Linked DNA regions of Ovis aries. The protein of the gene in region 2 interacts with the protein of the main gene of each other region in a biochemical or structural test. Links are inferred from orthologs where the notes say so. Each region holds a gene or a part of one and is shown on either strand. Other genes may lie near its edges.

Evidence for each region.
Region 1: of the proteins of NEDD4L (region 2) and SGK1, one has a biochemical effect on the other in vitro, tested with the Homo sapiens proteins (5 studies listed by BioGRID). The link is inferred for Ovis aries from reciprocal best matches to the Homo sapiens genes NEDD4L and SGK1.

Annotation. Positions count from the first base shown.
Region 1 is NC_056061.1:59,681,344-59,691,951, reverse strand, and holds the start of SGK1 (serine/threonine-protein kinase Sgk1), read left to right. Parts: upstream 1-5,711; 5' UTR 5,712-6,140; coding exon 6,141-6,209; intron 6,210-10,608. UniProt on the Homo sapiens protein: Serine/threonine-protein kinase which is involved in the regulation of a wide variety of ion channels, membrane transporters, cellular enzymes, transcription factors, neuronal excitability, cell growth, proliferation, survival, migration and apoptosis.
Region 2 is NC_056076.1:57,809,912-57,820,419, reverse strand, and holds part of NEDD4L (E3 ubiquitin-protein ligase NEDD4-like), read right to left. Parts: intron 5,211-10,508; coding exon 5,079-5,210; intron 4,568-5,078; coding exon 4,448-4,567; intron 3,401-4,447; coding exon 3,203-3,400; intron 1-3,202. UniProt on the Homo sapiens protein: E3 ubiquitin-protein ligase that mediates the polyubiquitination of lysine and cysteine residues on target proteins and is thereby implicated in the regulation of various signaling pathways including autophagy, innate immunity or DNA repair.

The sequences.
Region 1 (10,608 bases), on a different chromosome or scaffold from region 2:
AGTCTGAATTTGTATGTTCTCCAGGTTTCCACCAATGAGACTTATACAATGGCAAAGTCTTGCTGCCTGTTGAAAGCATCCTGACTCAGGAAAAAAGAGATCACTGTAATAAGGATGGTCAAGTCTAAAGGGAGTTCAAAGGAATATAGCTTTTTTAAAATAAATAAGCTTTGTAGGCTCTAAATCCCTGGTACGATTTAAGCGAAGGAACAGAAATAGATGCATAAATGTGAAATCTGGCAGAGCTGCAAATTCACTGTTTATGTTGAATGAATTATCACTAATATTCAAATGAGCAGTTACTAACAAATTGATTTGTCCCCTTGGGCTACATGTTATCACATTGTCACAAGAAAGAGCCAATTTTTTAAATACCTTCATGTCAGAAAAGGCTATGTCATAAATATGTTTGATATCTTTATTATGTGGAAACAATGAAAGAAAAAACAAAGGAAGAGAGGTCAATGTGTGTGTGGGTTCCTGTGTGGGGGAGCAGGCCCAGGTTAAAAGCAAATAACAGAGAAATGTAGGGAGGTGTCCTGAATTTTTAATCAGTTGCTACAGGGTCTCTTGAACTAAGGAACTAAATTTTGCCATTCTATCTAAAAATCTTTCAGGTAATAGAGATAAATAAAAGTCCAGTTTATTTGGTGATCTGGCTAAAACCATACCATGAAAAAAATGTCAAGTGCCTTAAATGTGAATTAAATATTATCATTAGGTAAGATTTGCTAAGACAAATACAGGTTTTTGTATTAGATTGTTCTTTTTCTTATAATGACCAGCATATACTTGACATTCAATAGATAATCAAATCAGATAACATTGAAAATATATTTGCCAATTAGATCTTTTTGCCAATTAGAAGAATATAGTTAATAAATATTATCTCTGAGAGGAAGCTGTATATCTATGAATTGCATGACTTTTTTTTCTTTTGTAAATGTAGTTAGAATGAAAACCAACTGTAAGGCTGTAGTACTTGAGCCTTACTTAGTCTCTTATCTACAAAAAGGATGCCATAGTTACTGGCATCTTTTCTGCAAAGTTCCATGAACCCATTCTGATATGGATTCTTCTTATGTACATAATTCTTTCTCTCAAAGAAAAATATCATAAACTTATATTCAAGGCTTGATTTTTCTTTTGTAACTTATCCTTTGATACATGCATGAATTAAACAAAAACTAATTTGGTGAAACCAAAGAATTCTAATTAAAAGAAAGATTCTTTCCTACATACAAAAATAAATCCATAATTCCCAGTGGGCTCTCCTAACTCCTAACTGCATATGTACCAGACTACGGCTGGAGTTTTAAGCAAAGGATCCAGTCATCTGGGTCAAATAGGAATGTAAAACATTTCTCATCATGTGGTCTATTGGTGCCTTTTTCTCCTTAGGGACGTTTGTCACTAGACAGATCTTTTGTTGTTTATCATTTTTTATGTTTTCCAGGTTGCTTTGGGGAAAAAAAAGAATTCACATTCCATTTAGCAACTAAGCGTATGACACACAAAAAATTTGATCTATGGAAGGTGAACTTTCTAAAAAGTACTACAGCAGTATACCTGTCTTACTTCAGTAAAACCAAAAATGTAGAGTTAGGTATTATTTTACAAGGCCTTTTTATTAATACATATTATTTGATACTTTTGCTGCAACATGGATGGACCTAGAAATTAACATATTAAGTAAAGAAAGTCAGAAAGAGAAAGAGAGATGTCATATGATATCAATTATATGTGAAATCTAAACAAAAAAAGATAGAAATGCACTTATACACAAAATAGAAACAGACTCACAGACATAGAAAACAAACTTATGGTTACCAAAGGAGAAAGCAGGAGAAGGATAAATTAGGAGTTTGGGATTAGAATATACACACTTTTATATATAAAATGGATAACCAACAAAGACTTACTGTATAGCACAGGGAACTATATTCATTGTCTTGCAATAGCCTATAATGGAACAGAATATGAAAAAGTACATGTGTATATATGCATAGCTGAATCACTTTGCTGTACACCGGAAACTAACATAACATTGTAAATCAACTATCTATTAATGAAATTTACTTTTTGCATTGATACTGACAACTGCCTTATGAGTTAGACAGAATGCATTTTGTTATTATTTTACAGATGAGGAAACTGAGGTTCAGTGAATTGAAGGCACTTATTCAAGGTCATACAATTAGGGGAGGGAGATTAGTAACCAGATCTTCCAAATCAACATAGCCTCGCTCCATGTCTTTTATATATTGGTAGTCAGTCCTACCTATTTGCTTTATTTTATTCTTTGTGTTATAGTCTAAACATTATACTTGAAAGGAAAGGTAAATATATTCCAAAAAGCAAATAGAGGATTAAGAGATTCTTTTCAACGTGAGAGTTTTTTTAATAAAAGAGATGTGTCATCCCAGGGTCTCAAAGTCATTGAATCTTAAAGAACTGGGAAGAACTAAGGGTCATTGGGTCTAATTAGAGCTCAGCACATTAATAATGATGGGAGTTTACTTTATGGTTTAAGAGTTTCAGAAATATTTAACAGTTCTTACTAATAGCCTGGTGACAGAGTCACTGATGTTAGCTTTACACAGTGTTTTTGTTTTTTTCAATTCATTAAAAAAGCATTCATTGAGTGCCTAGCATGGTCCAGGCACTATACTGTATGCTGAAGCTACAGAAATGAATGAGCATGTCCAATAGAAAAAAAAAAAAAAAGTAAGAAAATAAATTAATTAAGTTGAAACAAGTTTAATATGTAAGCAGGATGTTGTGAGAGTCCAGGAGTTATTTACTGTTCTACCATAAGAGGTAGTCTATGGTCCTTTGTAGATACTAATGAGCTTGGCAAAAGAGAAATTTATAAAGAGCAGTCACTCTGAGCCTACCTGCAGGCAGTTTTATTTATGAAAAGAGAAGTAATAGATGAGAGATGCTTGCTTTTCCCTGAGAAGCCAACACAGTACAGTTAAACATATTGATCTATTATTACAGTGATCAAAATATCATCTCAAATAATGGGCTACCTGATCTGGTCAGAACCCCTGCCCTTTGCTTCTCCTTCTGACCAGGGAGAAAGAGACCAACCTCTGACCAAACTCCACTTGTTCTTTAAAGTGAGCTGAACTAACTTTGAGGAAAACTTCCCAGGCCTTCCTCTCTAAACCACTCAGCCACCCCTTCAAACCAAGGTGAAGTTAACACTTGTACATATAGAATCATATACAATATATATCATTCTTATTATATAACATATAAAGGCAGAAAGAGAAGATGGCAACAGGGGATAAAATGGTTGGATGGCATCACTGATTCAATGGACATGAACTTGGGTAAACTCTGAGAGATGGTGAGGGACAGGGAGGCCTGGTGTGCTGCAGTCCATGGGGTCACAAAGTGCCAGACACGACTTGGTGACTGAAAAACAACAGTATATATTGTATATGTTATTTCTGAAATACACAATATATCATTCTTTCAATGATATGTGTTTCTTTAGTAGGCTGTGACTTCATTAGGAACATAAACTATTGATATTTGCATTCACAGGGCCTACCACAGGATATAACATAGACTCAGTGAAGTGTAGCAGCTCCAAGGGATGGCATATAGCGGTGAGGAGGGATAGGATTTAGCTTTATCCTCACCTCCTCCTCTATGGTTTCTATTAACCTTCCCTTCTTCACTCCAAATAAATGTACAGTGCACTGAAAACCGGTATGTGTGCTATATCAGTGTGGAATCAAGGCAAAGTCCCTAGTTCCCACTTTCAATAGGATGCTTAGAGAGGCCTTCTTTTGCATATTATTCAAATTCAATTACTATCTCTTAAAATACTTTTAAGGAAGGGGCAGTATGAGAAACAGGAAAGAATTTGAATGGCCATGATTTATTTTAATCAGGTTTATTGAACTGTAATTTACATAGAGTAAAATTTTCCTCCCTCATATATAAAGTCTGATAAATTTTGACAAATGCATATAATCACATAATCCACCCCATCATCATGATAAAGGACATTTCTACCTGCCTCAATAATTCTCTTTGGGGAGTTCCCTGGTTGCTTAGCGGTTAGGATTTTGTGCTTTCACTGCCATGGCCTGGGTTTAGTCCCTGGTGGGGGAACTGAGGTCCTACAAACCGCCGAATGGGGACAAAAAACATTCTCTTCAAACTACCAGAGTTTTAATGAACTCTTTAGAAGAACCCCAAAAGCTATCATTGCTGGAGTTTAAATAACATACTCCTTGCATCTCGGACAACTTAACATATCTCTCCAAAATAAAGCATTTATTTTTCTTCAGTTATAATACCATCATGTGGTTGTGCTACATTTTCTTTTGGAAATCTCAAGGCATTTAGCTAACAAGATTTCATTGTTATTTCCCACCAAACCTGGTCCAGCTCTAAAGATGTATATTCCAATTCAATGAAATCAGTGCATCTCTTTCCCAGTTAACCTTGCCGCAGACTGTCTTATAAATATGTTAACAATGTTAGGCATATCGCTTTTAATGAGCTGGCCATTCATTTTATCAAGTGGACATTGTGCCTTTCCCTCATTTATTAACTATATTCCTTTGTGGTGACATTGCAAAGGCTCTACATCCTGGGGACACTTGCTCCGTTTGGGCATATAGATACATGGAATGACACAGCACACAAGTGAATGACTAAGTCCATAAACGAGTGAATGAAAGAGTGAGTAACTGTCTCCATTTCATGGATGAGGCACCTTCTGAGAGGCACCGTGAGGTCAGTCGACTGGCAGAAAGCCACACACTGATGTCGTAGCAGTGCCCAATTGGATGCCAAGATTGTTTTCTTTGCTGTCTCTATTTAGCTATCAACTTTGTTAAAAATCCCCATAAAATATCGACAGGAAAAAGTAAACATGGAAAAATTGGCCACACACAAACTACATGGCTCTTCAAAACGAATTTAATGTGCAAAGAATAACATGAGTAAAAAAATGAGGAAGGTTGGATTTTCACTTGATGGGGAAAAAAACGCTTTCCCCTCTTATTCATTTTGAGTCATCCTTTCTGCTAAATGGATTCAGCGACACTTTTTGGTAATGCCCTTTGTATTTTTTGCATAAGACACTTTGGATATATGCCCATTGTGTTCTTTTTTAAAACAGACTCCTTTAGTGGAAAATACACACACACACACAAATGTTCACAGTTGCCTATTATATTATGACAAGTAGGAAGAGGACACTAGCAAGGTTCTACATAATGAGAGATCATCCATTGTTACACTTTATTTGTCTCCACATTTGGACAGATCGGGAATAAATTTGATTAAATTTCCATTGAGAACCGTCCCCACCCCGCCCCCAGGAACATGTACCAACAGAATTTCAATGAGCACAAAATTAAAACATTCTGCATGTTATAAGAAAATCTGATTTAAAGGATCCTAACAACAAAAAGAAAAGGGAAAAAAGCTATTAAAGTAAACCTCCCGAAGGGAGTCAACTGCTTTTCAGTGCATCCCGCGCTGATGCCGACTCTCCATCCGCGCTGCTCGATATTCATGAACCGCTGTGTCTTCCAGCACTGCTTTCCCTCTCGCTCTGCTTTTCTGGAGCGGCTCTCCCTCCCCCCCCCCCCCCCCCCCCCCCCTTTCCTCTGGCTTCTGCTCTTTCTTACTCCTTCTCTCAGCTGCTTAACTACAGCTCCCACTGGAACTTGCACAATCAAAAACAGCTCTCCTCTCCGGCAGCCTCCACAAGCGCATCACCTGGAGCAGAGCGACTCTCCCAGTGCACACGCCGCAGAGCAGCCAGGTAGCTGGGGGCGCGCAGGGGGTGCCCTTCTCCTGCGGGGCAGCAGCCAGAGCCTCTCCTCGGAATCCGGGGCATCCTGGGGTCCTGTTGCGGTGATGCCTGCCTTTCGGAGCAGTGATGGAAAGAGAAGAGCCGCTGTCGGTGGAAACTGAGAGCGGAGAGAGGTTGCGGCAGCAGCCGGTGCTGCAGAATGTGTGAGTGAAAACCTAAGCCGCGCTGCATTCTCCATCCCGCTCGGTCTTCGTCAGCTAGTCCAGGAGGCAAGTCGGGAACCAGATGCATTGACCAGGTGGGGGCCACCCTGGATCTGTTAACCGTGAACTCCCCACTGTGGAAAATGGTAAACAAAGACATGAATGGATTCCCAGTCAAGAAATGCTCAGCCTTCCAATTTTTTAAGAAACGGGTAAGGACGGGTTTTGTTTGCTTCTTTTGTTTTCTGCTCTTGTCTGAAATGCCTTTGATTGCTTGCCGGAGGTAAGCCCGAGTTTCGGTGGCAAAGCCCCGAATGGAAGTCATGTGTGTCTGGTCGCAGTGGTCCAGCTGGGAAATAGACCTGTCTTGATGCAGATTTGAGGGTGAGGGCACCTAGGCAGAGTTGCTTTGGGAGGAGGGGGTTGGGCTGAGATGTCCTAAGGATGGTTTAGAGCTGGGAATGGGAATTTCCCAACCAAAGCCACAAGATTACAAACAGTTTCAAAGAGAATTAGCCTGGGTACAGTTATTGGCTAGTTAATTTGGTTGGGGACTAATTCCGTGGTGCGCTCTTGCTCTCTCTTATCTTTGAAGGCTTCAACTTTTCCCACACCTTTCATTCACTCAGTCTCAAGTACAGCTTTATCATCTTCCTGCCTCAGAAGCAGCAGCTTCCAGCTTCCCAGATTCATCTGGCCAATAACTTGCTGAGTCTCTATCTATGGTAAAAATAGCAAAGGACTAAAATGACCTTTCAGAGAACTGATGGAGTCCAGCATTTTAAATCCTCTATTTCAGGTTGCCTCAATTTTACTTGGTACACCGCCTTTCATGGGCAGTGTAAATTCAAGTGATAATATGGGGTTATGCTGCTGTATAATTTTATTTCTTAAATTCTTGTTCTTCTGTTCAGGACATTAATGGTACATTGCTTGTAAATGAGCAAAGAAAAGGGAGCAGGTTTTCCTTGTATTTCACAGTAAACTCAGTTCACTGTAATGGTCCCACTGATGGTCTGCGTAAATCTGCAAATTTATACATAAGTGAGAGGTAAGAAATGAATGATTTTTAAGCAACTGATGACTGACATTCTTGTGGAGCGTTTCTTAAGCAACAGCAGCTTCCTCCAGCCCCCAGCTGCGCTGGTCTATTTGATACCCCAGGGCAATTCCATCAAAATGATTCTCTTCATTCATTCTCGGTTCCTTCATTCAGGTCTTTCCTGTGCTGCTCTGGAAACACAGCCCTTCACTTAAACCACCAACAGAACACTGTGAACTACACACTGGGCTGGACTACGTCCTGCACCCAGTGGGCAAGCTGGGAAGGCAGGGCTGGGAACAGCATGTCAGTCCAGGTCAGAGGGCTAACACAGTTTCCCATACACCTGTGACTGAATTCCCATCAGTCGAGCAAGACCTTCCCTAAACTCCATGGGTCAAAACATATTCATTAAAACCAAAGCAAAACCCACGTTGTCCTGGCTTCTGCACCAGAGGCCTCAGCACTTGGCAAGGAGGTCTCCCGCTGGAGAAGACTCAGGTTGAATTGGAGCAAGGCAGTGCCACTTCTCAGAGTCCACCATGTTTCTTCATTTTTCCTGTAGCCAAGATATTTCTTTCCAAGGAAAAAGCACTTTGTAAAAAAAACAATTTCCAACACAGTAAACAAATGTTTTGATAATAAATAAAAAATGCCATAGCTGATAACTCAGTAAACTCTTTACTCTCATTTAATTAATTAATTAAATGTTACTGAGGGGACAGTGACGGTGATTTTTTTCGGTTGGTTGGCTTTTGATTTGTATTTATTTATTTATTTTAATACTTCTCAATCAGATATATTGAATCAACTGAGTAACTGTCAAGTAGATTTTAAGTTTTCTTTTATTTTCTTTGCTATCAAAATGTGCTATAATAACTGTTAATTTACTATCTAGTTTCTTTTTTGCTTAAAAGCAGAATTTAACAGTAGCCTTCAGTTGCTGCCTCTGTAGACCTTGCATTTTGCAAAGAACTAGCCAGGGTACTGATGTCTAACCTGAGTGCTTGCAGAGAGAAAGAACGTGAAACCAAGATATGTAGGAGACCTAAGAAACATGGGTTCTATCCCTCAGTCAGGAAGATCTCCTGGAGGAGATCCTGGCAACCCACTCCAGTATTCTTGCCTGGAGAATCCCATGGACAGAGGAGCCTGGTGGGCTACAGTCCATGGGGTCCCAAAGAGTCAGACACGACTGAAGCGATTTAGCATGCACACACGCATCCAGCCCCGCAGCTTCATCTGCCTTTGAATCTGGGTCTATCATTTTCTGGAGATAGTATCAGAAACCTCCCCTCTTGTTGTCCTTACTCTTCAAGGACAAAACAGCAGAATATGCCTTTGTGTCAAATCATGGAGGGCCCTAAGGGATAAAGTCTGATTCTTGTCCATACATAATCTTTTCTGAAAGTTCATTTCAGTTTGTACCATGACTTTGCTATAGGTTTTGCTTTTTTATTCCTTTCTTTGTTTGGGGTCTTTACACAGCTGATATTTAAGTAAATGTGTAAAACATTAAGATAATACCCAGGTAAATTCCTCTGCCTTTCTTATCCAGAGGTAAATGTTGACATCTATCTTTCCCAGTTCTTCTCTATGCATCTGTATGCACATTTATATACTAGAATGCCTTTGTTCTCAGCTAAGAATAATCCATTTTTCTTATATTCTATTGTTGAAGTTCCACAGATTTTTGCATATTTTATTTTTAACCTACTTAGACAGTCTTACAAAATGAACCTTTGTCCAATGCCCACATTAAACCATGAATAGATCTTGGAAAAAACCCATAGATTTTTTAGGGCTTACTAAAAACACGGAGGTTTGGACCCAAATTTTGAGGGCAGAAAGCTTAACTAGTGCTTCTTATGCCTCTGAGATATTTCACAAGAAGCCTAAGAAGGTCCCCAAAAGGGAAGGCAGAATGATCCACCCTGTGATTCATTTAGAAGAGTAAGTGTAGCACCATTTATTGAGAGCCTGCTATGTTCTAGAAGTTATGGGTCAAGTGCTTTATAGGTATTAGCTCATGAAATCCTCAGAGTCATCCTGTGAAATAAGAAAACATTAAATGTGCAAAGCACAGCTTAAGAGAGATTAAGCAACCAGCCCAATATCACTTAACTAAAAAGTAGCAGAGCCAAAATTTAAATTTTCCTTGACCCAAGGCCCATGTTCTTAATCCAGACTTTCTATTTTTGAATCACACTCCCACCCCCTTTTTTCTTCCATAACAGAATCTTTTTTCTCCCCAAGTAAAATCTTTATGCCATTATGCAATTTATAAAACCTACAAGGGGACTAGTCCTCAGCTGACTCTCGAAGCTTCTTTCCAACCCTCAGTCATGACTGAGGCAGCTCTGGGGAACCCAGCCTCAAGGAACACAATCTAAAGAAAGGCAGTCCTGGTGCTAGTTCCCCCAAATCCTTTGGATTTATGCTTGCCACCGCCATGTCTTAAAAGCTCAACTAAATCAGCTTAATTTCATTTAGTTGAGAATAGCTAAGCTAAACTCAGTAAGAATTCTACTTCCATTCTGTATGTGTTAATGATAAGTTAACATTAGATGCCTGCGGATTATTCTTTATTCTTAGAATCTCTGAAAAATTCCTTTAAGATAAATGGGAAAATGTCCTTATCAGTTTTATTGTCAAAATCTAAGAGCTTTAAAAGGTATAGGGTTTGCTAAAGATAATCCATTTTCATGGATTTAAAGATTTGTTCATGGTTCAGATTCTTGCATGGACTGTAGCCTGCCAGGCTCCTCTGTCTATAGAATTCTTCAGGTAAGAATATTGGAGTGGGTAGCCATTCCCTTCTTTAGGGAATCTTCCCAACCCAGAGATTGAACCTGGGTCTCCTGCATTGCAGGCAGATACTTCACCATCTGCACCACCAGGAAAGCCTGCGTTATGACTCAGAAAACACCAAAAATGAGATTATGTTCAACTTGATAACCCATTTTGGAAATTCCTTAGGTATGTAAATCAGTTCATTTCAGTCGCTCAGTCATGTCTGACTTCGACCCCACAGACTTCAGCAAGCCAGGATTCCTTATCCTTCACCAACTCCCAGAACTTGCTCAAACTCATGTCCATCAAGTCAGTAATGCCATCCAACCATCTCATCCTCTGTCATCCCCTTCTCCTCCTGCCTTCAATCCTTCCCAGCATCAAGGTATTTTTAAGACTTCTAAAGACAGAATCACATTATCTTTCATAACATTTCAGAGGATAACTAGGCAGGATGGAATTTTGGATTTGGAATATGCACCTTAGAAACTCTTACATTAACCTATTTTAAAGATGTAGAAACAGTGCTTGGCAGGTGAATCACTTACTCAACTAAAATGGGGCTAAGCCAGTCCTCACAGGTAGGATTTTCACTGCCAGATCAAGTGTCTTTATTATTATTATTATTATGCTCTCAAACTGGTTCAGTTCTTCAGGCCTCATTCATTCATTCTTTAAGAAATACAGTAGGGACAAAACCCAGTTCATCTTCCTAGTAATAACTGCCTTGTGACCACCAATTTTGACAAGACACTTCTTGTTGAACTTGTTTTGAC
Region 2 (10,508 bases):
GGTTGGGGAACTAAGATCCCACATGTCTCCCCTACCCGCAATTTCTTATTAGACTTATTAAAAACAGATAAAGTAAGGGCATGCTGGCTGGTTGAAAAAACAGTGGTGCTTTTTCCAGCCTGGAAGGGAGCAACCACCAGACCTGGACTACAGTGACTTTTATGAGTTTGGACCTGGGCAGAAAAGAAAACAAGCCTAAAACTTAATTACGGTATAATCTTTCTCATTACAGAAATAAGCCAATGCTTTGTCCTGTAAAAGACATAAATATGTTCTTACACACATGCTTTGAGCTGCTTCTTCAGCAGAAGCAATAGACACACTGAAGCCTCGTGTAATCTCTTCTCACCTCCCTAGGGGTCTCCCCGAGATCCACAGCCAACCCACCCCTGTGGGGGCCAAGAGATGCGCATTTGACATGTCTGACTTGATTACCGACAGCAGGCTGGCATCCTGCCTCTGTGATTCGTGAGTACAAAGGGCTGTGTTTTATAAACAGACTCAAAGGGGGGGGGGGTGTGTGCGCGTGCGTGCGTGCGTGTGTGTGTGTCAGACTCTGCGACCCTATGGACTGTAGCCCACCAGGCTCCTCAGTCCATGGGATTCTCCAGGCAAGAATACTGGGGCCAGTTGCCATTTCCTTCTCCAGGGGATCTTCCTGACCCAGCAGCGATCGAACCCACATCTCCTGCATTGGCAAGTGGATTCTTTACCACTAGTACCAGCCTGGGGAAGCAAAAGGAAGGTTCTTCTATCAATGTATACAAAGGAGAAGCTTCTGGTTTGTGCAGGGCTCGAGAGCACACGGGGTGCAGAGGGAAGATGTCCGTTTTCATCCCTCTTGACCTGTCTGACCGGTTTTTCTTTCTTTTATGACAATGCTCAAATCTAAGAATAGCTGTTCTTTCTTTAAAAAACAAACAAACAAACAAAAACAAAGCAACCCCCAAAGTAACTCAACACAGGTTTTAAGCTGAAAGTTATCTTCTTGTTTCTCCCCATCCCTCCACCTTTTGTCAGAATAAACACGTGTTCAGAGCATGTGCTCTGCAGCCAGCGCTGCGGATGGGCCTTTGTTTAGCAGGGATAACGCAGCTGTGTCAGGGCCTCCACGCTGAGCGGGGAAGGGTGTTGACGGCTGGTGGAACTCTTTGTTGCTCCCTTCAGGATTTTCATGACAGCACCCGTGACAAAACATTGTTTTAACAAATTGAAATTTGAAAATCAGTGAGTCACGAGTATCTGGTCGAAAGGGGCAATGGGAAATAAAAAACTGGGTTTCATTCAGCAACAATGCAGGCAATAAATAAAGCGGGTGCTATTTAAAAGAAAACCTGCCCAGCTGCGATTACACTGCAGTTGTGGCGTGAAAGGCTGTGAAAAGGTTAGGGGATTTGATTACTAAGCTAGTTCAAATTACTAAAATCATAGCTTATGTTGGCAAGCCACAGTGGCTCCATATACTAATCCATCTACTTTCACAATATTTACCCCCTACTTCTGGAGCTCCCATTTCTGGCTGAGGAACTGAAATCCCAGCAATGCTGTAGCAAGTAGAAATGGCTTCAGTAGTAGGACTGCTACAGGTTCTACATCCCTGAGGGGGGTTAAAAAAAGACTTTGAAACCAACCTCTGTCACTCTGTTTTCCAAGGAGCTTCCTATCTATTACTCTCTTGTTGCCACAAACCCGTAATATTATCTTCAGATGAAACTGTTACTTATTATACGTCTGAGAAGTAGTGATGAGTTTACCAAATGAATGCTACCAGATCTGAATTTTAAATTCTCTCTGCAGGTTATACCTTTACTTCAAAATTGGAGTGGTTCTCACTAAGGGGTGTTGGGAAATGCCTGGGGGCTCCCGAGCTTTTCAGTGTGCTGGGATCCGGCGGCAGGGGCCGAGGATGGCGAATGCCCCGCAGCAACAAGCACAGCCCTGCCCCGAGTGCTAAGAATGTCCTCGTGAAGACACACTGCACTGTGATCCGTGAGATCTGAGAGAGCCTAATCCAGTTCTCAAGGGACTGAATTACCATCGTGCCATGGGCAGAGTGTAAATGACAGTCCAGGTCACTTGGGTCCAGGTCTCTTCCTTCACATGATACTGCTGTTCTAGCAACTGGGTATATTTGGTGTCTTCACTAGAAGTGGGAATTTAAAGCATGTGTTGACTCTTGGTCCAAGACCAAAGAGCCAGGGCCAGTGACAATCACCAAAACTCAACCGGATTTCATGTAATCATCGGTTCTAAACAGCAGTGCAGCACATAAAAAGAATGGAGCCCAACTCCATACCTGGGTAGTCAGCTGGGGATATAAGGGGCAGGAAGGAAAACAAACCTTCGGGAACATCAGAAACAGTCGGAAACCTGAGGACCCACTTCAGGTTAACTATTGGCCTAGAGATGAAACAGCAGAAAAACAGCACTGACTTTAAAAAGAACTCTATGCTACCTCCAATGAGCCGCCGCTGACTGCCCTGAACGAAGGAAGAGCGAACAGGGGAATGTAAAGATACGCACACGTCCTTTTCATTAATCTCATTTTTCTCAAAGTTAACACAGCATACATACTCTCTCCCCCTCGTGCGTGATTCAGGGGTACGAGGACGAGTACTGTTATTAAGGAAAAAACCCTGCGACAAGATGATCACAAAAAAGAGGTATCAAATTTACAAATTTAATCTCCTAACCCACGATTAAAGAGTGTGATGTAGCACTGGAGTGTAAAATACATATCTGATGCCAACTGTAAACACCAAAAGGACGCATCAAATCAAAATAAAGATGGGTAATGGCAACACAAATGCAAAAAAAAGAAGTGACACAGAGAAATTCTTTGTAAAAAGACTGGAATTCCTAATAAAGTCACAGCAGCCTAAGACAGGAAGCGGCAATACCAAAATTCCAGCAATATGGAGCACTACCTTTTCTTCCAAAATACGGTAAACTGTCAACACTGGAGCTTCCCATGAGTGCTCTGAGGAAAAGGCATCAATACCCAGGGTGGCTGTGAGTCCGTGCCAGTAAATCACCCACTCCCACCAGCCCCTATGTGCAGAGTCGAGGCGAAGGCTCAGGAGACCCTCAGCGGATATACTATAGTGTCAGGAAATTTCTCAGCAAGCACCATGGATACTGAGTCAGGGACAGATGCCAGGCCTCGGGGTGAAAGTGGAGCCAAACAAAGCAGCGGCCTTACCCATGTCGTGGTCTTTGTGTTGTGGTCAATGAAGAAGGGCCGGCCGTTGGGCGCTATCCTCATCTCCCAGCCGGGCGGCAAGAAGCTCTGTGTGACTTTGTGTTGTGGTTTGGGGGAGTTGTAAGGTGATGGCTGTGGGGACTGTGGGTTGGAAAGGGTATCTTTCACAGCCCGACGTACGGGTGAGTCCTTGGCGCCCTAAGGAATAATAATGAGCATTAGAACTCTCGACACGTGCTGGTTCAGAGTGGTCAACACGTCCCCGGGGGTCAGGGACCACTCCTCTCTCTGAAATGGGACCATGGGGAAACGCCTAAAAGAAACCTGCTTCTGTCATCTGCTTACTTTAAAAAACAATCTAACTGTGATGTTTCCCTATTGGTTCAATACACAACAATATTAAGTAAGTATAACCACCCTCCCTTGATAGCTGCTCAGTACACAACCCCAAATATTTTCTGGTAGTAACCATTATGGATGGGGATTTTACAGAAGGTGGAGAAAAACGTGGCCCTGCTCTTAATGAGCTCACAGTCTAATGGAGACGGACTGGCAATTTCTGGAGCAGAAAAAGAAAAAGCTCTATCAATGGAGACAGGCACCTGGGACGGCACAATTGTTAACCAGGACACCCACATCCCAGCCTGGAGGAGGCATGTCCCCTTGCCACTCCTCAACCTCCTAAACCCGGGCACAGAGCAGCCCGCAGCCGTCTTTAAGATGCCCGTCACGTTTACAGCATCAAAGGTTTAGCCTCCGGCCTTTGTGATATTAAGGGATGTTGCTAAGACCACAGAAACGGGAGGGCGCAAAGCGGATGCCCAGCGGTGACTCAGAGATGCAGACACGCGTCAGAAACACGAGGCCCACACGATGGAAGACCCTACAGTAGGGAGGGAGGAAGAATGACCGAAGCGACAGCTGTGTGTAAAAACTCAGCGGAAGCACTGGGATTGGAAAGAGCTGCTATGCGCGTCTCATGAGGCAGTAAGGAGTGAAACACAAGAATGGAGCGAGTTCGGAAGAGAGGCGCCCACGTCCAGCAGGGGCTCGCCGCGGCCGCGGCCCCGTGACAGTGAGAATCAGCGAGAGTCCAGGGATGGGAAGCATGGAGCGAGGCCGCACGAGGACACCCCTCACCACGAACACAGCGACGGCCAGAGAGGGGGGCGGCGCCCTGCGCGCCCCCGGAGGAGAGAGAAGAGCGGGTGAGAAGGGGTCAGGGGAGCCGGGCAGCCGTCTCACCTCCAGCGGGGCGGATAAAGTTACTGTTGGCGAGCTGAGGCTACGAGGCCGGCGGATCTGAGGCTCGATTAGGTGGTTGTTACTGTTTGTGGCGGATCCGGATGCGCCGTCTTCTGCGAGCTACGTTGGAGGCAAACACAAGTTAGCGGCGTGCGAGGCGCTCCCTGCGCGGTGCGGACCCAGTGACAGCGCGGCCAGCGGCCACGAGAGGCCTGTGGGAAGCCTGCAGGAGCCGACCCCACGCAACATCGGGGGCGGGGGCGAGGGATGGGGGAACACGCTCCGGGGAAGTAAACACTGAATCACGAGCCAGCAGAAAAGCCAGCCTCAGAGAAAACCTGGGCTGGAGGGGCGCTACCCGCTGGGATCAACAGGCTCTTCCTTTGAAAATCTCTTTCGGGTCATATATATTTATATATTTTTTAATAAAATGGACCCTCTAGGGAGAGACTGAGCCAGGGACTGAATTCTTTCTTAGGAAAATCTTATGTTTAAAGTAATGCATTTGCAAGAAAAGATCTTCTTTTGACATGGGTTCCTCAGAACGGTACCTAAAACTCGGGAACGCAGGGGTCGTGGACGTTTTGGCTTCTGAGTGCCTGTGACCGAAGCTGCAGGGCAAACCGCATACCTGCACGATAGGCCGAGTCCAAGTTGTGGTTCGATTGTTATGATTGACATAGTATGTGCGTCCCTTAGCATCTTTCCTCTCTTCCCAGCCCGAGGGCAGGCCCGGCGTGGTGTGTACATAGGCCACTGATGGCTGTTTGTGTAAGAAATCATCATTACTGAGTATCCTGCATTTGCTTTTCGATCAGCTTCATAAAGTCATACATACCCCGAGGATTAGCTCTGCTAGACAAAGTGAGTTAATTCTAGTGGTACTGGAAACACGACTGTCCAGAAAACAGCAACAGGTTTCCAACAGCTTTAAACCTAGTGTGAAATGAACCCCCACCCAAGCTAAAGGGTCAAAACCTCACAGGACTCAGTTCTAGGCCACGCAGCCTCCAACGTAGAGGGCTGCTGCCAATGTGATCATAAGGAAGGAGAAGACGATGCCAGTTTGGTTTGGTTACCAAATTTTACTTCAAGCCACATAGAGCTCAAAAGATGTTTCAAACTGTCAAACGTTATTGTCTCTGAGAGGGATGCTCTAAGTATCTCTTCCTCAATCTAGCTGCCACAGGAATGTTCTCCTAGCTTATCCCTAAATTCTTCAACACCTTAGGGCCCTTATACTATGTAAATTTCAGGGTCGGGGAGTGGGTGAGACACAGAATCTGTTTTTTATGAGATCCCCCTTTACACTAGTGACCGACCAGAACATCTCAGCTGCCCCAGCCCAGGAGGAGGCAGGCCAGAACTCCCAAGGAACCTGACTGCTGAGGCTATATTTCCCCCATCTTCCCATGTGGGATTTGTCTCTTTACAGGGTGAATGGAAGGCAGGCAGCTTCCGGGCTGAGAATGTCCAGCACGGAGGGACTAGATTTGGATGCGCCAAAGGAAATCGCTAAAGCAGTCCTGTGATCTTTCGGCTTGTAAGAAGCAGTCTGAGAAATGCAGGTGGGTTGGAGAAATACTGGGAAAGCAGGATGTCTCCATGACTCATGGAGGCCAAGAGAAGGATGTTTGAGGTCGGTGCTGCCCAGGAAGTCCTGCAGGTACGGATGCTGCATACAAGACCTGCAACTGGGGTAGGGGTGCTGCTCAAGAACAAGAAGCCTTGGCAGATATGGCTCTTGACAAGAGTGTAAAAGAAACAAGAGGCCTAAATTCAGGAGTAATCTCTTACGTGTGGTTACAGAAGGGAGCCACTTCCTTTAGGGCCCATCTTCCCTAATTAGGATCTTCTGAACCTCCAGATGTTTCACCAGGTATATTTTCTTTTTGTTTAAAATTTACTTTTTTAATTGAAGGATAATTGCTTTGCAGAATTCCGTTGGTTTCTGCCAAACACCAACATGAATCAGCCACGGGCATACATATGGTGTATTTTCTTGATGAGGTTGATGTTAACCTCTCAGCCGGGCTTCTCCCCATGTCCATCCCATCTTTCGTGTTCACTACCAACAGTGCCTCCTGGCAAAGAGGGTCCCCCAGTCCACTGCGAGACCTCGAACTGAAAAGCATGATCAGGGAGGCTGCTGTGGAATCTGGGGACCGCAGGCAATGAGGCTTAATATCCTACTTCATGAGTTCAACAGCACACTCCAAAAAAACCACGAGAAACTGAGACCATGAAGTGACTGCCTTCATACTTATTTCTAAAACACATTAACCCAGCAGGGCAAGCGCATCTGCACAACTTTGTGCTAAAACCTCAGCAACTATTTCTTGATGTTATTCCAGATAAAGTCCCCAAGGCCCCATAACGGTAATTTCAAGACTCTGACAATGTAGCATCCTGAACTGAGGTGCAGGGATACAACAAGAGTGGAAGAAACACCAGCACACAGGCTTGATCCTTCTGTATTAAAGACAGATGAACCTGTCTATGGCTGAAAGCTCTTTCTGCCCTCCTCCTCTTGCTGTGGCACCAACATAAAAGAGCTATTTCCAGGCTACTTTTTATCTGGACGCTATGGCAATGGACTCTGCTGACCTAAAGTGGAACCCGAGTTGCAACCTAAAAGTTAGTGGCCAATTAGTATTTTTGGCTAAATACATGCTATCAAGCCTTGACCTACTGTTGTTTACATGAGGAACAAATGTGTTTTGGCTGAATGGAATACCAATGGAATTTGCTGCTTTCCTCCTCTTCAAGTTATTTTTTGGGGGAGAGGCAATTAGATAAGCCTTCACAAAACTCCATTCTGGAAACCTTAAGGATAGTTTTACAGTTATGGTATCCCTGGAAAGGACGTTTATGGGGAGGCTAATAAACAAAAATAACTGGGATGTGTCATGGATAATCTCAGGACTGAGGTCTAAAGCTGGGAGACTTCCAGCAGAGTCGTCCAGCAACCAGATTACTTTCATAGAGCCACAGTTAATAGGACTAATCAGTTTATGGAAAACTAGGAGTGTCCTAGCGGATAAGGCGATGGCACCCCACTCCAGTACTCTTGCCTGGAAAATCCCATGGACGGAGGAGCCTGGTAGGCTGCAGCCCATGGGGTTGCTAAGAGTCGGACACGACTGAGCAACTTCACTTTCACTTTTCACTTTCATGCATTAGAGAAGGAAATGGCAACCCACTCCAGTGTTCTTGCCTAGAGAATCCCGGGGACGGGGGAGCCTGGTGGGCTGCCGTCTATGGGGTCGCACAGAGTCGGACATGACTGAAGCGACTTAGCAGCAGCAGCAGGAGTGTCGTATAGAACATGGCATTTGAGTCAAATGTGCATCCTACCTTCTATGGAGAAATGACTTGGCAACGTATAATCTAGTTCCACTGATGCAAGATGGTGTTATTAAAACGGTTCTTTACAGGTTTCTTTCCAAATGACCCTGAAGAACTACCTGTGCGGACAACTCCATCTGTGACTCAAAACAACGCATCCCGCAGCTGGGGAGGAGCGGGGCTCAGTGTCCATGAAGAGACTGTGGCAGTGTTAGCCTGGAGCCAATGTCAGACTCTCCTGCAGTATATGTGCACATACGTGTGTACACTGTGGTGTGTGTGCATGTGTGTGGGTACGTGTGCATGTATGTGTGTGTGCACGTGTGCGTGCATTTGTGTGTGTGCGCGTGGGCAGGTGTCTGTACTGCTCCTGCACACGTGCATCCCATGCCACCTCAAGAAACAGTTAACGGGGAGCCAACTGAAACACAGCTGGTCAGCTGAAGCCAGAAGTTCACAGCTCTCCGTCTGCATCTACTGTTGTCTTTCACAATGTCAAGGAGCCATTTGACCACAGCTTCTGGGTAGCTCCATTGAGTTCATTAAAATGAAGCGCTCAATAATGCTGAAGCTGTAAAAGTTTCAAAACGCTTTTATTTTTTTTATTTTTTCAAAACGCTTTTAAAGATGATAAACAGCTTGGCGCTATCACATATCTTCAAGATTTGCTCAAACCCTGCCACACTCTAACCTCAGTGGAATATTAAGGGGATAGACAGCAACCCCCCCAAACTGTGCTATCCCTTTTCATTTCCTCTCATAGAGTGGACTCTGGCTTAGCCAGCTAGACAGTGACACCACTGTGTATTCACTTGTCACGTGTCAGAGCTGTGGGTCCGCAGGTGAGAACTGGGGCGTGCTGATCGTAACAGAGACGTGAAAGCCCTGCACGGAGAGAGAGCAACACCAGGACGGGTGAGGCCGCGGGACAAGCAGCTGCCAAGGGGAGGCAGCCGAGGGCTCATCTTTTCGGGAAACACGGGACTCTGGTGCATTCACATCCCAGCATCTCAATGTAACCAGTATTATGTAATAACCAGTATGTCCCAGGGAAATGACCCAAGTGAGTATCAAGTCGATTAAGTAATATGTATACGAGCTCTCCATTTTCTCTGTGTGTGTGCGTGCACGTGTTATGTGCGTGTACCCACAGGTACATCTGTGAGAGCACAGAGGAAGAAGGGGTGGGGAGTCCCAGGGTTGCTCTAGGCTGACAGGGCACACTTGGGTGTTGGGGTGGACAGGGAGAAGGTATAATAGAGGGGAAAATCCATGGAGGAGACGGAATTGGAAAAGCAAAGGCTATTGGTGACAAGGGCTGGTGAGGGTAGGGAAAAAAAACCCAGATGTGACTGTTTCTCATGTAGTCATAAAGGAGGTTGGCTTACTCGAGCCAAAAGATCACCAGGTATGCAGAAAGCATGAGAGTAGATAAAACATTTAGGAAATATTACTATCCGCTCTTTAAAGATAAGAAACAAAAACCAAACTGCTATTTTTAGCTCACTGCTGGGGGAAGGGGGAGGGCACAGGCAAGAAGCGTCGCCTGGTGGCAGGGCTGCGTGGACCCTGCTGGGTGGGTCACCCTGCCCTGCCAGGTGCCTGGCTCGGGACGATCCTAGCTCAGTCCATCCTGTCACTGGACACCATCAGCTATCAGGACACTCACAGCAGGTCCCGAGGCCAATGCAGTGCATGACGGGGTAGAAGCTCACTGGCCCCGCTTCCTGTTAAAGCCATTTCATGAAGTGATCTCATCCACCTCGCAGCTCTATCCCCGTGGAAACGACAAGTGCACAATAGGAAGCTCACTAGGTCATCTGGAATTTCTTCAGTTCTCCGGGAGGGTGAGCCTGGCCCACCCAACAGGCGCCCTTCACATCAATCACTGCGGCTCGATGCCTTAAACTGGCCTGATTTTTGCTGACTGCCACTTCGATTTTCCAGGGTACCATGCTGAGCTGTCAATTCTAACAATGTAACTAGACTGCTCCTTTAAATCAGTACCCTGCAGAAAATCAGCAATCGTGTATGTATTTACAGGTGTTCTCAAATAATAGCAGCGATAACAAACATACAAAGGTAAAACAACAACGAAAACTCTTCAGACAGCCATAGCAGCACCAAGCTAACCATAAGCTAGCCTGTGTTTAGGGATCAAGGAGAAGACTGGCGAAGCACACAGTCATGCGTTGCCCACAAGCATGAACAGCAGGAATTGCTTACAACGAAGAGTACACTTGGCTTACAAACACCATTTTTTCCTAGATCCTTTCAATTTCTTAATTATACTTTCTCTCTCCTCCTGAATTATATTCATATGTTCTCCTCCTGAACATCCATTGCTCATACCTTTGAACCTGTGAGTTGGGGGGCCTGGCAACAGAGAAAGGTCACTGGTTCCTGCTTGTGATACAGAACATCTGAGTCAGCCTTTGAAATGCGGCAGTGGGAATGCATCACTGAAATTCACATGTACAAGTGTGTGCAATTTCTGGGGCTTCCTTGATTCTCCTCCAACCAAAATATTTTATCCATGTCTTCTAAACACATGGAGGAAACTTATCAGGAGAACAAACACTGAAAGGCAGAAATAAACTCTAAAAGGTTCAGATTAAAACTTAAAGCTTGACAGCTCTTAGAACTACATGGGACTAAAAATTGTTTTGTTTTACCCAGTACTTTCAAGGAGTGTGAAAGTAAGGTTTTATTA